Linked DNA regions of Callithrix jacchus. The protein of the gene in region 3 purifies or fractionates together with the protein of the main gene of each other region. This does not show direct contact. Links are inferred from orthologs where the notes say so. Each region holds a gene or a part of one and is shown on either strand. Other genes may lie near its edges. The genes, in order: VIRMA, FNBP4, ZC3H18, SSRP1, RBBP6 and NCBP2.

Region 1 (3,500 bases), on a different chromosome or scaffold from region 3:
TTTTAAACTCTTAACATTTCTTTATCTTTGTTCTAGTTGGTTCTTTTCAATGAGGTTGTACATTTCAATTCTTTTTATTTACATAATATTGCATATAGTACAACATATGCCAGAGATAAATAATCTTGATAAATTCATTTAGCTCTAGGGCCTTAATCATGTTTTAAATTTACTTAATAAATATAAAATATTATATGTTCTTAACTTGGAGCTCATATTTTTAACTAATTCCTTGTCTGGAATTTTTTGTTGATCTGATGGGTACTAAGAAATGAAACATTTTGTTCATTTTTATTTTTAAAGAATATTGATAACTTGATGACCCCAGAAGGAGTTGGCCTTACCACTGCCTTACGTGTTCTCTGTAATATTGCATGCCCACCACCTCCTGTTGAAGGTAATGTGACTACTATATTTTTAAAAAAATACTATTCTTAAGGCTAGAATAAATATCATTTATTAAATATTTAGTTTAATAATTATTAAATGTTATTTATAATATTTAAGTGTAATTAAATATAAACATTTGTCATAAATATTTATAAAAATTTATTATAAATATAAAAACCATAAATAATTAAATATCATTTATTAAATATTCAGTTTAATAATTAATAATTCTTAATCTTAACATATAAATAATTAGTTTTGTTTCTTTTCCTTATCCTATATAAAGGTCAACAGAAAGACCTGAAATGGAATCTTGCCGTAATTCAGCTTTTTTCTGCTGAAGGAATGGACACATTTATTCGAGTTCTGCAAAAATTGAACAGTATTCTGACTCAGCCTTGGAGGCTCCATGTCAACATGGGGACTACCCTTCACAGAGTTACTACTATTTCAATGGCTCGCTGCACCCTCACACTTCTTAAAACTATGTTAACGGAACTCCTGAGAGGTGGATCCTTTGAGTTTAAGGACATGCGTGTTCCTTCAGCGCTTGTTACTTTACATATGCTCCTGTGCTCTATCCCCCTCTCAGGTCGTTTGGATAGTGATGAACAGAAAATTCAGAATGATATCATTGATATTTTACTGACTTTTACACAAGGAGTTAATGAAAAACTCACAATCTCAGAAGAGACTCTGGCCAATAATACTTGGTCTTTAATGTTAAAAGAAGTTCTTTCTTCAATCTTGAAGGTTCCTGAAGGATTTTTTTCTGGACTCATACTCCTTTCAGAGCTGCTGCCTCTTCCATTGCCCATGCAAACAACTCAGGTATCACTTCAATATAACATGCATCTTATAAATGACTGCGTAACACTTTTTTTAAAAGCCAGTGATTGTGTTAAAAAACAAAAACCCTCATCTCCCTTCCTCCCAAAAAGACATAAAATAACTGGATGAGGGGGAGATAAAACTGAAGCAAGTTGGTCGTTGAGGAAATACGGGGGTAACATTTTAAGTGAATTTTTGTTAAAGTGAGTTTTATTATGCTGTTATGTATGTTTGTACTTACATATTTCTGTTATTTTAAATCCTTTCCCCCCCTTATGTGTTAGAATTTGCCAATAACTGGGTTGCTTCACCAATGGACTCTACTCAACTAACTGCTCACCTGAGAACAATAAGATTTTTTAGACTCATTGAATTCAAGCAAATGTTTAACTGTATAATAGAAAATTGAATGTTTTAAGCATGCAGTAAAAATGTTCTTTTCATAACAGTTCTTCCTGAACAGTTTTTGTGACTATAAATAAATATTTAAAAAATCTACGTACACAACATTATACTTTTTTAACAGGTTATTGAGCCACATGATATATCAGTGGCACTCAACACCCGAAAATTGTGGAGCATGCACCTTCATGTTCAAGCAAAGTTGCTCCAAGAAATAGTTCGCTCTTTCTCTGGCACAACCTGCCAGCCCATTCAACATATGTTACGGCGTATTTGTGTTCAATTGTGTGACCTTGCCTCACCAACTGCACTTCTGATTATGAGAACTGTGTTGGATTTGATTGTAGAAGACTTGCAAAGGTATTTTCATTTTGCATTAAAAATTTTTTCCTCAAGTTATTTTTGACACATATATTTTTTCCCTTATAATTTGGAAACTAGGGTTTGGAATGCCCAGCTAACATATATACATGTAAATATACACATATACCTACATATACACACATATTTATATATGAATACTTATAGACTTTTTAAATTAGAAAGCTTTATTTCATCATTTCATGTGCAAGCTATCTTGACAATCTTGTTTTTTGGGTTTTTAAATGGTGAATTCTAAAGAAGTACTCTGATTTAAGAAAATATATTTTTGGAAACCTGAATTTATAAAATTTTTGCAGTAATTGTAAAATTCCAGAGAAGTTGTCATTATATCCAAGGAATTAAATGTTTTATGCAAAATTTGTGTAAGTTGATGTGTATTGAGAAATAAATAGTAGTTAAACAATGCCTTAAGATCAAAAACATTGTTTACTAAATGTATTGATTTTATTTCAGCACTTCAGAAGATAAAGAAAAACAGTATACTAGCCAAACCACCAGGTTGCTTGCTCTTCTTGATGCTCTGGCTTCACACAAAGCTTGTAAATTAGCTATTTTGCATCTAATTAATGGAACTATTAAAGGTGATGAAAGATATGCAGAGATATTCCAGGATCTTTTAGCTTTGGTGCGGTCTCCTGGAGACAGTGTTATTCGCCAACAGTGTGTTGAATATATCACATCCATTTTGCAGTCTCTCTGTGATCAGGTATTTATACTTATTTTATAGTATCTCTCTCTCTCTCTCTCTCTCTCTCTCTCTGTCTGTCTCTCTGTGTGTGTGCATTTAAGTATCTTTTTTTTTTTGTATTTAAGTATCTTAATGTAAGTCTTGGCTTTCATCTGTATTTTATTATTCCTGCTATTCATGGGTTTCTCTGAAGAGCTTTATTTTTTTCCTTCAAAACCTTGGGTAATTGTTTTATGTGCCACTGTTTCTGTATTTTTTAGGGTCTAATTAATTTTCCTTGTAATTACATTATATTCCAAGTCATTCTTTTCTTTTTTTTTGAGATGGAGTCTCGTTCTGTCACCCAGGCTGGAGTGCAATGGTGGGATCTCAGCCCACTGCAACCGCCATCCGCTGGGTTCAAGTGATTCTCCTGCCTCAGCTTCCCAAGTAGCTGAGATTACAGGCACACAACACCATGCCTGGTAAATTTTTGTATTTTTTAGTTGAGATGATGTTTCACCATGTCGGTCAGGCTGGTCTCGAACTCCTGACCTCAGGTGATCACCTGCCTTGGCCTCCCAAAGTGCTGAGATTATAGGTGTGAGCCACCACGACTGGTCACAACAAGTCATTCTTAAATTTTGTAGCTTTGTGATTGGTTGAATTAATATGTTCGCTGTTAGGGAAACTTTTGAAGACTACTACACTTTTAGTGTGTTTCAGACTACTTTGCTTGTAGATGTTGGCTAACAGTAGTAGTATTTTTTCCTGTTGTCTATGTTATTGACTTCCAGTTTATGGTTTCATGGGTTGATGAGAGTTG
Region 2 (3,500 bases), on a different chromosome or scaffold from region 3:
CTAACAGCCAGAAGGTAGAAACAATCCAAATGTCCATCAACTATTGAATGGTAAATTGTGGTATACACATATACATAGAGTACACTATTACTTAGCATACTGATACATGCTACACAGATGAACCTCAAGAACATTATGCTAAGTGAAAGAAGCCAGGCCCAAAAGGTCACGTACTTCATGTATTTACATGAAGTATTCAGAATCGGTAAATCCAGACACAGCAGATTGGTGTGGTAGTTCCTAAGTGTTGGGAGGAGATAATGGAGAATGACTGCTTAATGGATACAGGGTATTTATTCTTTTGGGGTGATAAAAATGTAACTAGACAGAGATGGTGGTTATATAATATTGTGAATATACTAAAACTGAAAATGGTTAATTTTTTTTTAATTTGAGATGGAGTCTTGCTCTGTTGCCCAGGTTGGAGTGCAGTGGCATAATCCTGGCTCACTGCAACCTCTGCCTCCTATGTTCAAATGAATTCTCCTGCCTCAGCCTCCTGAGTAGCTGGAATTATAGGCATGTGCCACCAGGACCAGCTAATTTTTGTATTTTTAGTAGAGACAGGTTTTCACTATCTTGACCAAGCTGGTCTCTAACTCCTGACCTCAAGTGATCCACCTGCCTCAGCCTAGCAAAGTGCTGGGATTACAAGCGTCAGCAAAAGTGCCTGGCCTGAAAATGGTTAATTTTATGTTACGTGAATGTAACTTCAATAAAATTTTTAAAAAGAGGTTTATTATACCTTGTCTTTCTTTCCTTTTTTTGTCTTTTCAGGTGGTGGCATTTTGGGAGCTGGTGGTGGTGGTGGAGGAGGAGGAGGTGGAGGTGGTGGTGGTTCTATAATGGCAGTGGTAGGCACAGCACCTCGGGCCTGGACTGGCTGCAATGAGGGAGCAGTCACTCCAATTGGGACAGAACATTCTGCATAACTCATAATTGCAGGTGCTGCTGCTAGTCCAAGGTAATTTGACTGCAGGCTCATTCCTCTGGCCTGATGACCCATTCCTGCTGTTGGATGGCTAACTGGTATTGTCTGATGTCCAATTCCTGTGGCCTGGTTTCCAATCCCTGCTGCCTGGAGACCTAACACAGAAAACATAAAATGATACTATAAAAAGGACATCATGACAAGAACAGATCCAATGAATCCAATACACCCTTATCTAAAAAATACAGCCATATTTGCTAGTAGCAAAATATATTAATTTTGAATATCTTGGCATTACACTACCTAAACATCAAAATCATCGATATACATAAATGTACAAAAGACAATCTGGGCCGGGCACGGTGGCTCACGCCTGTAATCCCAGCACTTTGGGAGGCCGAGGCGGGTGGATCACGAGGTCAAGAGATCGAGACCATCCTGGTCAACAAGATGAAACCCCGTCTCTACTAAAAATACAAAAATTAGCTGGGCATGGTGGTACGTGCCTGTAGTCCCAGCTACTCGGGAGGCTGAGGCAGGAGAATTGCCTGAACCCAGGAGGCGGAGGTTGCGGTGAGCCGAGATCGCGCCATTGCACTCCAGCCTGGGTAACAACAGTGAAACTCCGTCTCAAAAAAAAGACAATCTGGAAGGATATATGCCGAACATTTTTTGTTTTTGTTTTTGAGACAGAGTTTCGCTCGTTACCCAGGCTGGAGTGCAATGGCACGACCTCGGCTCACTGCAACCTCCGCCTCCTGGGTTCAGGCAATTCTCCTGCCTCAGCCTCCCGAGTAGCTGGGATTACAGGCACATGCCACCAGGCCCAGCTAATTTTCTGTATTTTTGGGAGAGGAGAGAGGGGGTTTCACCATGTTGACCAGGATGGTCTTGATCTCTTGACCTTGTGATCCACCCGCCTTGGCCTCCCAAAGTGCTGGGATTACAGGCTTGAGCCACCGCGCCTGGCCATTTTTTCTGTTTTTGAGACAGGTTCTTGCTCTATCGCCCAGACTGGATGGAGTGCAGCAGTGTGATCACAGTTCATTGCAGCCACAACCTCCAGGGCTCAAGTGATCCTCCCACCTCAGTCTCCCAAGTAGCTGGGACTACAGGTGCGAACCACCATGCCTGACTAATTTTTGTATTTTTTGTAGACAGGCTTTTGTCGTATTGCCCAGGCTGGTCTCCAACTCCTGGGCTCAAGCAATCCACTGGCCTCAGCTTTCCAAAGTGCTGAGATTATAGATGTGAGTCACTATGCATGGCCAATTAAACTGTTAAAAGTGGTTTTTTTTTTTTTTTTTTGAAGTAACATAAATGCAAACAGTCTTTGCAAAGAACCTTAACATTTCTTTAGTTTTTATAGCATCTAATGCTGGGAAAAAAAAGAAACAATACATTGAGGAAAAACCATGCTTTAATCATAATTACCTGTAGCTATAGCTGACTGGCTATAGAGAACTGGAGAACTGCCAATGGTAGCTGACCTCTGAACTACTGCAGTACTAATTTCTGTAGCTTTCCTCTTTGTCCCTTTAGTGGAAGGAGAGCTAGAGATGGTAGAATCCACTGAACTCTGAAACACAAAAATTTGTGATCAGTGGCTGAAGGCCCTGGTTAAACATATGCCACCCCGTCTCCTTTTTTGAGACAGGGTCTCGTTCTGTTGCACAAGCTGCAGTGGTGAGATCATGACTCACTGCAATCTCCTGGGTTTAAGCAATCATCCCGCCTTGACCTGTCAAAAGCACTAGGACTATAGGCATGAGACACCGTGCCCAGCCTTTAAAACATACACTTCTAAAATAAAATACAGTGTCAAGCATGCTCCATCCTCACAATCATTCAGAATGCCAAAGGACATTACTCACCTGGGTAGTTACAACTGTGGTTTGTGCTGAAGGTTTCAAAGGTGTATCCTCCTCTGTTCCTGGGGCAGGGGGCTCCTCACTTCCCTCATCCTCCATCTCTACCTCCTGGATCTCACCATCCTCCACAGGAGGAGGTGGTGGAGGAGGGGGTGGAGGTGATTCTGGAGGTGGAGGTGGGGGTGGTGGCATTTCCAAGGGTAATGGAGGTTGAAGCACCGGAACATTTGACTGAAGGAGGGTCCAGAATGGAGTAAATGGCATGAGTGATGAAGAAGAAACTTGACCAGAAAAGGGTTCTTTACAAAGAGAACCTATGAAAACAGATAAGAATCAGGAAAAAAGCAAGACACAAACTTCCTAGCTTATATTCATAGAAACGGTCAACTGGTCAGTAAGACAAACATCTACAGGAACCTAGCACAATGTACAAAATAGTATAGAATGCGGTGTCAAGCAGCAGGGAGTGGCTCCTTCCAAAAAAAAAAAAAAAAATATGCCCCACAGGCATCTATTCTATACTGATGTAACTAAAATATTCAACAACTCAATTCAGAAATGACGTCCATGGAAATATAAACTTATGAACCTTACAGTTGGCACCTTCCCCATCTGTGTTATACCTGTCTTGTCCTTTGGGTCCATACTTATGGACAAGTAGAAGGAAAATATTACATTGATTCAATGAGAAATGCAGT
Region 3 (3,500 bases):
GCGGCTCATGCCTGTGACCCAGCACCGTGGAGGCTGAGATGGGCGGATCACCCCAGGTCAGGAGTTGGAAACAAGTCTGGCCAATATGGCAAAACCCCGTCTCTACTAAAAATACAGAAGTTAGCCAGGCATGGTGGCAGGCGAATTGCTTGAACCTGGGGGATGGAGGCTGCGGGGAGCTGAGATGGCACCACAGCTCTCCAGCCTGGTTGACAGAGCAGACTCAGTCTCAAAAAAAACCCCAAAAACATGGCACTAAAGGCAAACCAGTGGTTACACATCTAACTGACAACCTTTACCTGCCTCAACCCAGAACATCAAACTGCACCTTTCACTGCAATGACTCCCCTTCCCTGCGATCCTTAAATAAAAAACAACAAAACCAGCTCAGTCCAGCTGCTCTGTCCCTTGCTCAGTTCCTTTCAGTTCAATAGCTCTGGAAACTATCGCTCAGGAGGACTTTGGGCTGTTTCTCCCAAAACACTCATAACTTTTCCAACGGGATCAACTGCGAGGAGAACCCCACCTACCCATATCTCAGATCACAGGTAACAGTACCTTCCCCTCAACCTGAAAGCCAGATTACTTCAATGTACAAAGACGTGTGCTGGCTTTGTCAGAAACGGAGGCGCTATGACACACAGTCCCATGGACCCGCCTCCACCAGTCTTTTCAGGAATGCGCCCAAAGAGCCGTGGTCCGGCAGGTGCCCTCACCAGAGGACAGGCTCTAGGGCCAACACTAAAATGCCGACAAGAACATCCAGAACAGATGGAAACTTTCCTCATTCTTTTCGGTCCAAACACATGACAAGGGGGGAAACCCATGCCGTTTCTGGTTGAACACTCACTTGAGTATCACTCAAAGACAGCAGAGACGGGGAAAACATTACCTCTCCACCCCGGAACCGAAAAACACTGGGCACTTGGCCTTTTACTGCGGCCCAAGCCATGCCAGCAGCCGGCCAGCCAGGGGCCACGGAAACCCCGCTGCCGGTTTCTGGAGCTGCCGACGCTCAGACTTCATTTCCGGGTCTTCCTTTCCCATCACTTTGGGACCGGCCCCCAAACAAGCCTCTCATTCTCCTGCACACCTGTCCCGCCACCATCTCTAGTAAGAAATCACCACGTCAGTCCCATGCAGAGTCCCTCCTTCCCCGCAACGGCCGGCGTCAGGCTGCCGGGCAGACACCCTGCGACGCTCTGCTCCATCATACTCACGTCTATTTCCCCGTCATCAATTTCTCCGTCGTCATCCTCTTTTTTTTTCTCCTTGGCAGCCTCCAGGGATTCCTTTTCTCCCAGACTCTGAACACCAGCCTGCCCCGCCTCCCCAGGAGCACCTTCACCCTTCTCTTCATCATCCTCGGCCCCAGCTTTCTCGGCCTCATCCTCCTGGACGGTGGGAGCCGGCTCCTCGGGGACCTCCTCGTCGTAGTCTAACTCATGCTCATCCAGTTCCCTGGTGACTGACGAGGCCTCATCCCTAAGGTCGCTTGTCCGGTCTTCCTCCCCTTCGTCCCCCTCCTCCTCGCATGGGGAGCTGGTCGGGCCCTGGCTCAGCTCATTCACCTCTGAGTCCTGGTCTTGAGATTTAGGTTCACTTGTCTGGTCCTCCTCGTCGGAGCGATTCTCTTCCTCCTCCTGGCCTGGCCCCCTGGCTGCACTTTCCTCATCCTCCAAATCAGAAGCCCGCACCCCCACTCCGTCCAAATCCTGATCGGACCCGCTGTCCCTCAGAATGTCATCATCCGAGAGCCCCTGTGGCTGCTCTTCATCCTCTGGAGAGCGAGGATCCCGTTCAGGGCTCTCGGCCACATCCATCAGTACCCACGGTTCTGTAAAAGAGAGAGAACACAGATTTACAGCCTTTAGCAAAACGGTAAACGAACCCTGTCCTCACTTTTCTGGCCTTGCTCGGCCCCACATGACCCTGCCCCAAGTCCCACACTCCACTCTACAGAGAAACACAGGTCACAACTCCACTCCATGAGGTGAGACTCTGCTGGGCTAACCTGGATGTTAAGTGCCTCCCGTTTTTAGCAATCACACAAAACGAGAAGTGGCAGAATGAGACACGGCCCGGCCTAGCCCTTCCCCACTCAAGGGCAGCACACACAAGTTCACATAAAGTGAGCAACAAGATACGGACTGCAAGGGACAGCTGTCTGAATTCTTAAGAGTATTTACTTTTGAAATTCAAGATAAACTGTCTCATGGAATGAGAGAGCAAAACTGCAGGCCCATGTCTGACCATTTTTCTGGAGTCACTCTGAAGCAGGAAGCTAGGCCAGCTTTTGCCAGTTTCCAGGTCTGGAGCCTGTTCTGTTACTGAACATACTTCTCACAGGCTGGGCTCTGACGGCCTCTCAGAATCCCCTTTGGTGCCCTTTAAACATAAACATATGCACCTTTTACATTTACATTTTTAATAGGACAACCTGTTTAAAGACACATAGTATCAAGAGTTGGTATCTAAACCTACAGTTAAACATGTTTTTTCTTTTCTGCTGTTAATGGAAATCACTACAATTAAGTACACATTAGGACAAAACTGGCCAGGTGCAGTGGCTCATGCCTGTTATCTCAGCACTTTGGGAGGCTGAGGTGGACAGATCACTTGAGTCCAGGAGTTCCTGAACAGCGAAACCCCGTCGCTACAAAAAAATACAAAAATTAGCTTGGTGTGATAGGAAGGCACCTGTATGTAGTCGTAGCTACCTGGGAGGCTGAGGTGGGAGGATCACTGGAGCCTAGGAGGTCGAGGCTGCACTTCAGCCTGGGAGACAGGGTGAGACCCTGTGTCAAATAAAAACCAAAAAACCCCTCCAAAAACCCCAAATAATTAAAAAGTAATCACTTTATAAAAACTAAATGGGCCGGGCATGGTGGCTCATGCCTGTAATCCCAGCACTGGCAGGCCAAGGCGGGTGGATCACCTGAGGTTAGGAGTTCAAGATCAGCCTGGTCAACATTGTGAAACCCTGTCTCTACCAAAAATACAAAAAATTAGATGGGCGTGGTGCTGGGTGCCTGTAATCCCAGCTGTTTGAGAAGCTGAAGCAGGAGAATCGCTTGAAACCAGGAGGCAGAGGTTTCAGTGAGCCAAGATTGTGCCACTGCACTCTGGCCTGGGCAACAGGAGTGAAACTCTGTGTCAAAAGTAAAAAAAAATTAAAAACCCTAAATGGCTAGCAACATAGATTTACAAACCAACCAATCCATTTTAATTCACTTGAAAGGAGACAGTTCTGAAACGACTCACTTTTCAGTTTTCTACACTATCCAGTTACTATCCAGACTGCTGGGCAGAATTATGAAAAAGTGAGTCCTAAGCCAGGGGTGGTGGCATGTGCCTGTAATCCCAGCTACTTGGGAGGCTGAGGTGGGAGGATCATTTGAGCCCAAGAGTTGGAGTGTAGCCTGGAAAACATGTGAAACCCTCCCCTCTCTTTTTATTTTATTTTATTTTTTGAGACGGAGTTTCGCTCGTTACCCAGG
Region 4 (4,000 bases), on a different chromosome or scaffold from region 3:
TATCTCGAAGACTGGCTGGTCACCAATGTCAAAGGAAAGCAGCTGCCCTGTGAGGAAAGGGCTTATCAAGCCGCAGGCTCCCCTGCATAAGCAACATTCCCACCAACCCGAGGTCCACAGAGATGGGAAACCGGGGCGAGTCTGTTCACACTGTAATCCAACTCCCGGCACAGTGCCCAGTACACTGTAGGTACCCAATAATCAGTACTCATGATGAACGTGCAAACAGATAGGAAACCAGAGACACTGGCAGAGGGAAAAGAGCAGAACAAGTCAAAGGCTGACACCCTTCAGGCTATCTTCTTCCCCAAACCTCAGTCCTCCCCAGGACTCACCACCAAATTTCACTGTCCCCCAGTTCCAGCCCTTCACACAAAGGTCCTTCTCCATTAACTCAAGGCGATAGTGAGTTTTGAAGAAATCAGAGAGTTTCTCAAACTCCTGTGGGTGGAGGAAAGAAAGCACAATCCCAGTAAACCTTGGTGGCCTTAACACAGACTTGAATGTCCTGCGATGATCTATTTCTGAGAAATTGCCCCAAAATAGGCTGTATGAGAAACCCATGCTACTAAGCAACCCAGCCCTAACATTGTTTAAAAGACTGTTGAGGCCTGGTGTGGTGGCTCACGCCTGTAATCCCAGCATTTTGGGAGGCTGAGGAGGGTGGATCACCTGAGGTCGGGAGTTCTAGACCAGCCTGACCAACATGGAGAAACCCTGTCTCTACTAAAAACACAAAATTAGCTGGGTGTGGTGGTGGGCACCTGTAATCCCAGCTACTCGGGAGGCTGAATCACTTAAGCCCGGGAGGTGGAGGTTTTGGTGAGCTGAAATCACACGATTGCACTTAGCCTGGGCAACAAAAGCAAAACTCCTTTACCAAAAAAAAAATTGTTCAAAGATCTTGCTTCTGGCCACTGGATCTGACATTCCTGGTTATGGGTTTCACAGTGCCATCTGACTTTATAAAAGCTTTGTATAGGCATTACTTTAATGAAAGTGGAAATTAAAATCAAATAAAGCCTTTAACTCAAGCAGCTCAAAATGAAAAACAAAACCCACACTTTATCAAGCTGGCTAGGTGCAATGGCTCATGCCTGTAATCTCAACCCTTTGGGAGGTCAGGATGGGCCATCCCTCAAGTCTGAGAGCTCAAGACCAGACTGGGTAATGTGGTGAAATCCCATTTCTACCAAAAATTGTGAAAAAATAGCTGGGCATGGTGGCATGTGCCTGTGGTACCAGTTACTCAGGAGGCTGAGGTGGAAGGATTGCTTAAGCCCAGGAGGGAGAGGCCGCAGTGAGCCGAGATTAAATCACTGCACTCCAGCCTAGGCAACAGAGCAAGACCCTGTCACAAAAAAAAATAACACAAAAGACATCAAGCTAAGATTCTGAACCTTGATAAAAGCCACAGGCGGAAACTACCATCTAAATCAAAACAGCAGAAAACCTTCCGGAGTGAAGGTGTTCACACAAAAGTTCACAACTCAACACTCAAGGCTGAACGCCGACTGCCTGATGGCCTGGCAATCACAGGGTTACACGAGGAAGGGAACTGCAAGTCTTTAGAAGACTAAAAGAAGATGACGCAGTAAAAAGGAGGTTTGTAAGGGGTTTATAGCCAAGGGACATCTCACCGATTCTCGGAAGCCATCATACTTGTAGACATGGCCATTCTTTGTAAGCAGTTTAAGTCCATGGCCCAGAGCTACACGGCGCCAGATGCCTTCTGTTAGCTCCCCAGCCTGGATGTTGTCCACTTTGCCGGTCTTGCTATTCTTGAAGATGATACCCTGGCGGCTCAACCTCAGTCGACCATCATTCTGTAAGAAAAACAGGCTCAGATGCATGGGGACAGTACAAAGCATGTCCTGGGTACAGTTCTACCCAACACACATTCCAGCTGTGAGGGCGCTGGCCAGATGACAAATGCAGCTGCCACAGCTGAGGAGGCCAAGGAGTCTAGATTCTAAACCAGGCTCTGGTACCTAGATCCCTTACAGATTCTCAGTTTCCTCATTTGTAAAACAGGAATTGGGAACTGAACAGCATATATGGTCCCTATAACTCCCGAGACCATCTCTCTATTGCCTTGTGTTGGGGAAAATACTAGGAACACATTATACTGAGTCTTCTTTTTCCAAAATAACATTCCCAAAGCAAGCTCTCGTTAACGGACAAAAACTCTACCCTCCTTCCTTCTATCTACTTGTATCAACTGTGTGAGCCGTTCTCACCATGGAGCCTTTCACCTCTTGATAGACGTCGTTGAACTCCAGTGTCTCTGCCATGTCGACCCCTGCCTGTGGTGGCCTGGGCAGAGCCCTAGGCTGCACAAGGGAAACCGAGTAAACTGGGAGCTGGGCCCCAACTCCTGAGTGGGTGTGCGGATGCTCAGCAGGTAGGGAATCTGAGTTCAAGAGGAAGACAGATAAGCATAAAAGACAACAAACACCTCGCTGTACTCGCCGATGAAGCCAGGTAGCAACCCCCATCTGCGCCTGAGATGTCTCAGGATTTCCTCTGCCTGGGAACCCATAGGCGGGCGCTGCAGTGCCCGAGGGTTCAGGCCCAGGCCCAGGTGGAGAATCGGGCCTGGAACAGCGCTGACACCCAACCCGACACCCACTCTGGCCGCTCCAGCGGGAGCCATGGCAACGAGCAGCGGAACCCCAGGGTCTGCCCGGAGCCCGCACCTCGCACGCGCCCCAACACAGCTTAGAGTGCAGGGTTTCCCTAGCACCGTTCCCACCACCCCGCAGCCCCAGGCCCACGGTTCACCCCCGCCCTACAGAATGGATTCGCCCGCTCCCCGCGGTTTCGAATGCGGAATGGTCCATGTCGAGCGTCCCGCGGGGTAGCGGGGCTCGTGCCTTCCTGAGACCGGGGGACGACCACCACCTACCTACTCAGGCTGCAACCTCGCGAGGGCCCGGGCGTGGGAGGTGGGCGCGTTGGGGGGAAGCGGGGGGCGGGGGGGCGGGGGTTGGGGGGGGACACCGGGAAAGCTTTTCCCGCGTGCGCGGCCCCGCGTCCCGCCACCGGAAGCCAAGCACATGCCACAGAGAGGACGAGCCGGCTAGAGAGACACAAGCCAGGCCCGCCTGCGAGACCGTCGCATAGAGCGTCGGCGACGCTGGAGGACCTGAGAGAAATGTGGTTGCAGTGAAGTCTCTCTCACCCGGGTGTAATCTGCTTCGAAAATGTGTGTAGGGCTCTTTAGAAACTACGGACACTTCTTCAATGGAGACTGGATACTAAAGAAAAATTGTGTGATTTTATCGTATCAGACTTAGTACAGGGGTGGGGGTGGGGGTGTGTATTGGAAAGATGCGTGCCCCTCTGTCTGCAAAATAGTTTGTGGGTCATGGAAAGGAGTCTATGGGACAAGAAGAAAAGTATTTAAGAGTTGTGGAAAGAAACAATCTCTCCCACTGGCTGGGAAGAGAATGTAGATGATGGTGTCATAGTAAGTGCACTGCTTTCTGGCTGAACTGTCAAGTTCACTGTCTATACCCAAAATCTTCACATCCCTAACCGCAATTTATAGGTTCCCTCAAGAGGCTGGCAAATGGCTGTATCCAGTTCAAGTCCTGGTGTCAGATTCACCTCGGAGCCGGAACTGATTTGAAACCACATCATCCTGGGGTTGCGGAAGCCAGGCCTCCTCCTATAGTCCCAGAGTGCATTTTGCAACATAGGAGAAAACCAGACCTGGAAAAGATGCTTTAGTTTTTCTACCCCAACCTTCTTTTACTGATAGGAAAACTGAGACCCAAAGGGACTTGAGTTGTCCAGGGTCTCAGTGAGTTGGCAACAAAGCCAGGACCCAGACTTCCTTACCACCAGTCCAGTTCTCTTCCGTCGTAATCACCATGACTGTATGTTCAGAATGATTGATGATGTGTCCTGTGTGAAGATATTAGTACAGAATATGTAAATTCAAGATTTCCCTGACAATCAGTACACCAGCTTGCTAACTCAATCCTGGGGTAAG
Region 5 (3,500 bases), on a different chromosome or scaffold from region 3:
TAAATCCTTTCTAAAATACAAAATCTTAGAAGTTTTTTTCTACTTTCATGTCAGTTAATGAGTAGGATTAGAATTACAGAAAAGTTATTTTAAATATGGCATCAGTTATTTTCCTGGTAGGTTTAACTTTTTTATCCTTAATTTGGATGATAAAGTTTGGTTTGAGTACATAAATACATAATAAGATTAAATCTACCAAACAAAAATTTGTTGTTTTAAGTCATGTCTTATTCCACAGGATATGTTTTTTCCACCCTGAAATAAAAAGAATTTTTATTTTCTCTGTGGGATATTTTATGGCATTGAAAATCAGCAGACTTACTTAATATCTTTTTATTTATATAATTTCTTCTGATTATATACTCCAATTGAAAACTGATATATCCTTAAAGTATGAGTTACTAGCAGGATTATATCAGTAGAATGAACACAGGATTTAGAAACAGGTAGACTTGAGTTTTGAATCCCATATTCTCTATTTTCTAGCTGTGTAACAGTGGTCATGTGGTTTTACTCCCTAACATCCATTTCCTTGTTTGGAATTGGAATGACACTACCTACCTTAACATGTAAAATGGCTTCATAGTGCCCAGCAGACAAAAGGGCTCTTTTCCTTGTATATAACAGTAAGTTCACAGAGTAATTTATAGAACGCTAATTAAAATGTAATATTGTGTAAAGTAATCTATTTTCAGGTCTAATTACTGTTATAATACTGTTAATTGGGGGGAAAGTTAGTTTTAAGTAAATATAATGTTTGCTCACCTCTCCTCTATCCGAAATAAGTTTAAGAATTGGGGAGTAGGAAAAAGTTTCGAGTAGTTAAAATCAGTGTTTTAACATCTGTGCATGGAAAGGTCATGTATTATACCCATGGAGAAATACTTGAGCTTATTTTATTTTTTTTCTCTCATACAGTTCCAACAAACTTGGCTATCTGGTTTCTCCACCACAACAAATCAGAAGAGGGGAGAGGAGCTGCTACAGGTAGGTATGCTAAAAATCTTGGAAAATAATTATCTTATTATATATATATCACCAAAAAATACATAGAACATCAAAGAAATTAAAGCACAGCAGTGGCAGGAAGGAAGGAGGTCATTATCACTCTTAAGTCCTCAACAGTTATCCTCAAAGAGGCCTAGAAAAGAATAAATTACATATAGTATCTTAAATGATGGTTTTTAAGACATTTTTAATGTTCCTTCCCAGTGATTACTTTCTCTCTATCAGCAAACAGCAGAGTATTGTCTTGTATTTACCCTCTTGGAAGTAGAAAAAAGTCATTAAGACTCAGACAATATCTAAGATACCAGTTTAAGATGAAAGTTAACAAGCTCAGCTCCCAACTGTCAAAAAGAATTACATTTATTTATCTTCTAGACTCCACTGTCCCAATCATCTCCCACCTTCTCTTCCAAAAGAAGAGACAGGAGATTGTTAGAGGCTCCTGCTCTGGGCAGGTACAAGCATTATTAATCCAAGAAGTAAGAGTGTTACCATCTAGGTCAGGGGTCCCCAACCCTGGGCCACAGACTGGTACCCATACTTGGCCTGTTAGGAACCAGGCCACACAGCAGGAGGTGAGCAGCAGGTGAGCAAGCTTTACCACCTGAGTTCCACCTCCTTTCAGATGAGCAGTGGCATTAAGATTGTCTGTCATAGGAGCATGAACCCTGTTGTGAACTGCACACGTGAAGGATCTAGTTTACGCACTCCTTATGAAAATCTAACTAATGCCTGATGATCTGAGGTGGAACAGTTTCATCCCAAAATCATCCCCGCATCCCACTCCTGTCCCTGGAGAAATTGTCTTCCACAAAACAGGTCACTGGTGCCAAAAAGGTTGGGAACTGCTGGTCTAGATCATAATCACCACCAGAATAAAGAGGCTTCCAAAACTTTATAAAAAGAGTTTTGGCCAAGCATGGTGGCTCATGCTGGTAATTTGAGACTTTGGGAGGCTGAAGAGGGAGGATTGCTTGAAGCCTGAAGTTCAAGATTAGCCTGAGCAACATAGCAAGACTCTGTCTCTACAAAAAAAAAAGTTAAAAATCAGCCAGGCATGGTGGGGTGCACCTGTGGTCCCAGCTACCTGGAAGGCTGAGGCAGGAGGATCACTTGAGCTTAGGAGGTCCAGGCTACAGTGAGCTATAACCGCACCACTGCACTTTAGCCTGGGGGGTGGAGTGAGACCCTTTGTCAAAAAAAGAGAGAAAATTAGAGATACCTCCTAGTGCTTCAGTGCTAAACTTATTAAAAAGTTTACTCTGTCATTACTGGATCATATTTTAAAAGAAAGGTAATATTTACTAATTCATGGCTCTCTGAACAAAATGCTTAAAATCTAAAGCCCTGCTACTGCTGTTGTGTACCAGTGATTTATAATTTAAAGAACCTGTAGTTTAACATAAGTGAGCCCATTCTGTTTCTTTGGTGAGGCACAAATTAGAAACTTTAGCCCAACACTGTTATTTTTACTTAAGCCTTTGAGAGAAAGCATTGATATTTTCATTGTTAATTATACAAGTTAAAACTAGAATTTATTCTGCTTTATATGATCTTCACCCACCTTCTACCTCAAAAAAGAGGTTACAGGAGGTGGTTTTCCTTCATTGAAATTTTTGGGGCCGGGTGCATTGGCTCTCGCCTGTAATCCCAGCACTTTGGGAAGCCGAGGCGGGCAGATTACGTAGATCAGGATTTTGAAACCAGCCTGATGAAACCCTGTCTCTACTAAAAATACAAATAATTAGCTGGGGATGGTGGCACACGCCTGGAGTCCCAGCTACTTTGGGAGGCTGAGGCAGGAGAATTGGTTGAACCCTGGAGATGGAGGTTGCAGTGAGCCAAGATCAGACCACCACACCCCAGCCTGGGCAACAGAGCAAGACTCTGTCTCAAAAAAATAAAAAAATAAATGAATAAGTAAGCTTTTGGGTAGAACTAGGTCATAGCAGCATTAACCTGTCAGTTCCTTCAAAAGACAGTTTAGGAAGTAATGGGTCGTAATTAGTGGAGTGATAATCAATCTGGAATTCATGAAAGAGAACTTCTAAATACAATATTTCCATGTAGAGAAAGTCCCATAAACTTGCATCATCTCAGTCACTACATGACCTTAAAAATTATGTTTTAGAGTTATTTTTACAAATAAATGGTACTTATGATTCTATACTAGTTGAATAGTTGTATTCCACTGTTTTTAAATTTGAAAATAATTATGGATAGAAAAGATAAGCTTACTTGTCTCAGGTGACTTTAGTTTGAAGAAGTAATATCTTGGAATTTATTTCTCCAGAAGTATAAACCGTGGGCGACACCACAGCGAAAGATCACAGAGGACTCAAGGCCCGTCACTACCTGCAACTCCAGTCTTTGTACCTGTTCCACCACCTCCTTTGTATCCGCCTCCTCCCCATACACTTCCTCTCCCTCCGGGTGTTCCTCCTCCACAGTTTTCTCCTCAGTTTCCTCCTGGACAGCCACCACCTGCTGGG
Region 6 (4,093 bases), on a different chromosome or scaffold from region 3:
AACATGGTGATGCCCCATCTCTACTAAAAATACAAAAAAAATTAGCTGGGCATGGTGGTGGGCACCTGTAATCCCAGCTACTTGGGAGGCTGAGGCAGGAGAATTGCTTAAACCTGGGAGGTGGAGGCTGCAATGAGCCGAGATGGCGCCATTGCACTCCAGCCTGGGCCTCAGAAGCAAAACTCCATCTCAAAAAAAAAAAAAAAAAAATCCACAGAACAATAGTCATTCTATGTTAAAATGAGGTTTCTAGAACTATGAGACATTAGACAAAGTAAATTCCTGTCATTTTACTGCTGTCACTGATTTGTTAACATGGATGGGGCATCTTCTTTTTCTACTTTCCTCACACATAAGTAAGGTCCAAATAAATAGCCTACAGTTTAAGATAACTACGGTACAAGTACTTAACTATATGAATATGGATTCCATTCACAGAATGCTAGAAATTCCACATGACAGTATGGTATTATTATCTAAATAAAGCTCTAGGTTTTAGACTGAAGAGATGAATAATAGACAAAGTCAAAAGTTTTCAGTTTTCATTTTACATTGAAGTTAAAAATGGTTAGGATGTGGAATTGTCTGAAGTAATAGCTGTAAAAGTGGTAGAAGTGCAAATCATGCCTGGCACTAAAGCATCTAAAAACCTGACCAGCCGGGATCAGTGGTTCATATCTGTAATCCCAACACTTTGGGAAGCCCAGGCAGGTAGATTGCTTGAGTCCCCGAGTTTGAGACTAGCCTGAACACTGCAGGGAGACCTGTCTCTACAAAAAGCCATATGTAGTGGTGCGAACCTGTGGTCCCAGCTTCTCCAGAGGCTGAGGTGGGAGGATCACTTGGGCTTAGGATGCTGAGGCTGCAGAATCGTGATTGTGCCACTGCACTTCAGCCGAAGCAATAGAGCTAGTCTCTGTCTCAAAAAATAAATAAGTCTTGTTTTATTTGAGACATACTCTCACTCTGTCGCCCAGGCTGGAATGCATAAATAATAATAAATCATTTTAAGACATAGTCTCATTCTGTCACCCAGGCTGGAGTGCAGTGGCATGATCTCAACTCACTGCAACCGCCTTCTGGGTTCCAAGCGACTCTCCTGCCCCAGCCTCCCAAGTAGCCAGGATTACAGGCAACCGCCACCATGCCCAGCTAATTTTTGTATTTTTAGTAGAGATGGGGTTTCACCATCTTGGCCGGGCTGGTCTTGAACTCCTGACCTCGTTATCCACCTGTCCTGGCCTCCCAAAGTGCTGGGATTACACGTGTGCGCCACCGTGTCGTGCCCGTCCTTAAAAATTTTTTTTTTTTGAGATGGAGTCTCGCTGTGTTGCCCAAGCTGGAGTGCAGTGGCGCGATCTCAGGTCACTGCAACCTCCGCCTCCTGGGTTCAAGCATTCTCCTTTCAGCCTCCGGAGTAGCTGGGACTACAGGCGCGCCCCACCACGCCCAGCTAATTTTTTGTATTTTGAGTAGAGACGGGGTTTCATCATGTTGGCCAGGATGATCTCGATCTGTTGACGTCATGATCTGGCCACCTCTGACTCCCCAAGTTCTGGGATTACAGGCGTGAGCCACCATGCTCGGCTGAATAAATTTAAGAGCTTCCCCAATTTGCTGTCAAACAAAATTTCCTTTTCCCTACTTTAGTAACACATTTCACACATTCTCCACACCTACCCTCTGCTATGTACAGCCCTTCATTTCCCAGTCACATGGGGATTCCCCCCGCTTTTCTGAATCTTCACTACTTCTGTCTTAACTCACTTCTGCTTAGATTCTGATTACTTCCCTCCATTTATAATCCATACTACGGGGAATTATGAGCTCGTCGAGTGCAAAAATCTGTCTTCCCTCTCCCTCTAGGGTTTAGTACAAGGCTTTAGCAACAGCACTCAATAAACATTTACTAAATAACTGGGTTAAAGAGTCCCGCTAGCCCCAACCGTATTCCATCCCTGCCTTTGTTGATACTGAAAAGCCTACTCTGAATATCTGCAGCCTCCCCCTTTTTCACAAAATATAGTGATACAGTATTCGATATAGTTGGGACTAAAAATTTCCCTCTTCTGAAATGCAGCAACTCTCCCATCTTTACACCCTCAACGTGCCCAGCTTGACGGGTCCACCTCCTACTCCGAAGGTTCCCCGAGGGCGGAGTGAGGACTCCACTCGTGTCTCCCACGCACCGCGTACAGTTTCCGTAGGACCACCCTCCCAGTGAGGGGGCCCGAATCGCGGAAAGGCACTGCTTCGCTGATTTAAAAAACAAAGTAAAAAGCCCCGTGTCTGCATCAGGAAGGCGCCTCTACAGACTCAGGGAGTTAGGACACCCCTCCCCCTTGTTACGTAGTCACCTTCCCGAGGCAAACCGTGGAAACGGGAGCCACTACTACTACCACTCAAACCTCTCGGCGCTGGCCGGGGTACCGGGAGTGCCTGCTAGGGAACGGGAAAGCGAGCCTCAAATTCTCAATCTTCCAGAGAAAGTGGCTTCATCGATATCCAAACGCCCTTGCAGCACCCATTCCCTGCCTCCCCAGCAGGCACCGAGGCCCCACTTGGCGTTTGGGGACTCCAGCATAATGGGATGCAACACGAGACAAGAGCAAACCGTTTCTCAGCGTTCTGGCCCAGGGCCTTCCCCTCTCGCGGCCGGGCCTCCCTCACCCGGAAGTGCTGGTCCCGGTACTGGCTCAGCTCCACGTAGGAGTCGCTGCGCAGCGCCTTCAGGAGGCCACCCGACATAGCGCAGAGAAGCGGACGAGGATGCGACAACTCCCGACACGAGGCGGCGACTGCCGTGGCGGAAGCGGAGACGGGCGGAGACGCGCATCTTATTGGACCCAATCCGGGCGACAGTATCGTCATCAAGCTGCGCGAGCACAAAAGGCGTCGGGTCGGGCCCGCGGAGCAGAAGGTAAGGGCGGCGCGCTGCGGTTTTCGGGCGCCGGGAGAGGATGGTGCTCCGACGGCTGCTGGCCGCCTTGCTGCACAGCCCGCAGCTAGTGGATCGTCTGTCGGAGTCGTGGCCTATCCGACGTGCGGCGCAGCTCACAGCCTTCGCACTGCTCCAGGCCCAGCTGCGGGGCCAAGACGCGGCCCGCCGCCTGCGGGACCTCGCGGCTGGGCCCGCGGGCTCCCTGGGCCGCCGCGTTGAGCGATTCAAAGACGCTTTCACCCAGGAGCTACGCCGCGGCCTCCGGGGCCGCTCAGGGCCACCACCAGGTAGCCAGAGGGGCCCGGGCGCAAACATTTAAGCCTGGGCTGCGCGGGGCTGAGGCCGCTTCTGGGCTCTATTCTGGCCTCGGCGTTGAGGGGTCATTCCGGGCACTGCGCACGGCCTCGAATCCTGACTCCGATTTTTGGCCTGCGGATATCCCACTCAGAAGAGCCTAGGCCAGACCGCCGTCTCCGTTGAAGTCTTGTGATTTGACAAGGCACAGTGTGGAGAAAGACCCCGAAGCCTAACAGAGGTGAAGATGGGCTGGGTCCAGTCACAGCACCTATGGAGAGCCACCGGCCGAAGCCACAGAGCCTTTCCTCTGCAAATGGGATTGAAACTCTTGACAGATGCTGCTGAATCTGCACGGGTATAGCAGGACACTTAATTCCAGGGACGATATGGATAAAAAGACCACCCTACAGCTGCCAAAATCCTTTGATTAAATGTGTGAGCTGATTAATAGGCATGAGTGTGATACTTCTCAGGCAAGATGGATGAAGAATACTGGGGACTGTAGGCCTATGGTAATAATAAACACATACTTTATGAAATGAGTATTTATTCTGTGCTGCGACTTGCTAATAGCATTCTGTGTGTGTGTTTTTGTGTCATCTCCTTAAAACCACATTCACATGAGGAAGCAGAGATGGGGTAGTCTCATTGTGTTGCCTCGGCTGGTCTCAAACTCGAGCCCAACTGATCCTCCTGCCTCAGCCTCCCAAAGTGCTGGGATTACAAACAAGAGCCACTGAAACAGAAACAGAGGCTGCTGCTTAAGTTGCCCAAAGCCTTGCAGAGTAGGATGTGGGCAGAGGCATTTGACTGCTGGGCTTAAGTCCTTAACACAGCTCTGCAGCATTTATCCTG

The links.
Region 1: the proteins of ZC3H18 (region 3) and VIRMA purify together in Homo sapiens (affinity purification with mass spectrometry; 3 studies listed by BioGRID and IntAct, counting the BioPlex papers as one, with this or other methods). This does not show direct contact. The link is inferred for Callithrix jacchus from reciprocal best matches to the Homo sapiens genes ZC3H18 and VIRMA.
Region 2: the proteins of ZC3H18 (region 3) and FNBP4 purify together in Homo sapiens (affinity purification with mass spectrometry; 3 studies listed by BioGRID and IntAct, counting the BioPlex papers as one, with this or other methods). This does not show direct contact. The link is inferred for Callithrix jacchus from reciprocal best matches to the Homo sapiens genes ZC3H18 and FNBP4.
Region 4: the proteins of ZC3H18 (region 3) and SSRP1 purify together in Homo sapiens (affinity purification with mass spectrometry; 3 studies listed by BioGRID and IntAct, with this or other methods). This does not show direct contact. The link is inferred for Callithrix jacchus from reciprocal best matches to the Homo sapiens genes ZC3H18 and SSRP1.
Region 5: the proteins of ZC3H18 (region 3) and RBBP6 purify together in Homo sapiens (affinity purification with mass spectrometry; 3 studies listed by BioGRID and IntAct, counting the BioPlex papers as one, with this or other methods). This does not show direct contact. The link is inferred for Callithrix jacchus from reciprocal best matches to the Homo sapiens genes ZC3H18 and RBBP6.
Region 6: the proteins of ZC3H18 (region 3) and NCBP2 purify together in Homo sapiens (co-immunoprecipitation; 3 studies listed by BioGRID and IntAct, with this or other methods). This does not show direct contact. The link is inferred for Callithrix jacchus from reciprocal best matches to the Homo sapiens genes ZC3H18 and NCBP2.

Annotation. Positions count from the first base shown.
Region 1 is NC_133517.1:32,689,745-32,693,244, forward strand, and holds part of VIRMA (protein virilizer homolog), read left to right. Parts: intron 1-303; coding exon 304-397; intron 398-676; coding exon 677-1,221; intron 1,222-1,747; coding exon 1,748-1,983; intron 1,984-2,460; coding exon 2,461-2,713; intron 2,714-3,500. UniProt on the Homo sapiens protein: Associated component of the WMM complex, a complex that mediates N6-methyladenosine (m6A) methylation of RNAs, a modification that plays a role in the efficiency of mRNA splicing and RNA processing.
Region 2 is NC_133511.1:112,784,962-112,788,461, forward strand, and holds part of FNBP4 (formin-binding protein 4), read right to left. Parts: intron 3,117-3,500; coding exon 2,806-3,116; intron 2,511-2,805; coding exon 2,366-2,510; intron 1,087-2,365; coding exon 746-1,086; intron 1-745.
Region 3 is NC_133521.1:46,237,006-46,240,505, reverse strand, and holds part of ZC3H18 (zinc finger CCCH domain-containing protein 18), read right to left. Parts: intron 1,838-3,500; 5' UTR 1,824-1,837; coding exon 1,221-1,823; intron 1-1,220.
Region 4 is NC_133511.1:114,905,004-114,909,003, forward strand, and holds the start of SSRP1 (FACT complex subunit SSRP1), read right to left. Parts: upstream 2,801-4,000; 5' UTR 2,657-2,800; coding exon 2,459-2,656; intron 2,414-2,458; exon of another isoform or gene 2,295-2,413; coding exon of another isoform or gene 2,241-2,294; intron 1,827-2,240; coding exon 1,641-1,826; intron 442-1,640; coding exon 336-441; intron 48-335; coding exon 1-47. UniProt on the Homo sapiens protein: Component of the FACT complex, a general chromatin factor that acts to reorganize nucleosomes. The FACT complex is involved in multiple processes that require DNA as a template such as mRNA elongation, DNA replication and DNA repair.
Region 5 is NC_133513.1:25,151,349-25,154,848, forward strand, and holds part of RBBP6 (E3 ubiquitin-protein ligase RBBP6), read left to right. Parts: intron 1-918; coding exon 919-987; intron 988-3,301; coding exon 3,302-3,500. UniProt on the Homo sapiens protein: E3 ubiquitin-protein ligase which promotes ubiquitination of YBX1, leading to its degradation by the proteasome.
Region 6 is NC_133516.1:25,207,203-25,211,295, reverse strand, and holds the start of NCBP2 (nuclear cap-binding protein subunit 2), read right to left. Parts: upstream 2,801-4,093; 5' UTR 2,749-2,800; coding exon 2,671-2,748; exon of another isoform or gene 2,615-2,670; intron 1-2,614. Other genes in the region: protein NCBP2AS2, read left to right, coding at 2,961-3,260. UniProt on the Homo sapiens protein: Component of the cap-binding complex (CBC), which binds co-transcriptionally to the 5' cap of pre-mRNAs and is involved in various processes such as pre-mRNA splicing, translation regulation, nonsense-mediated mRNA decay, RNA-mediated gene silencing (RNAi) by microRNAs (miRNAs) and mRNA export.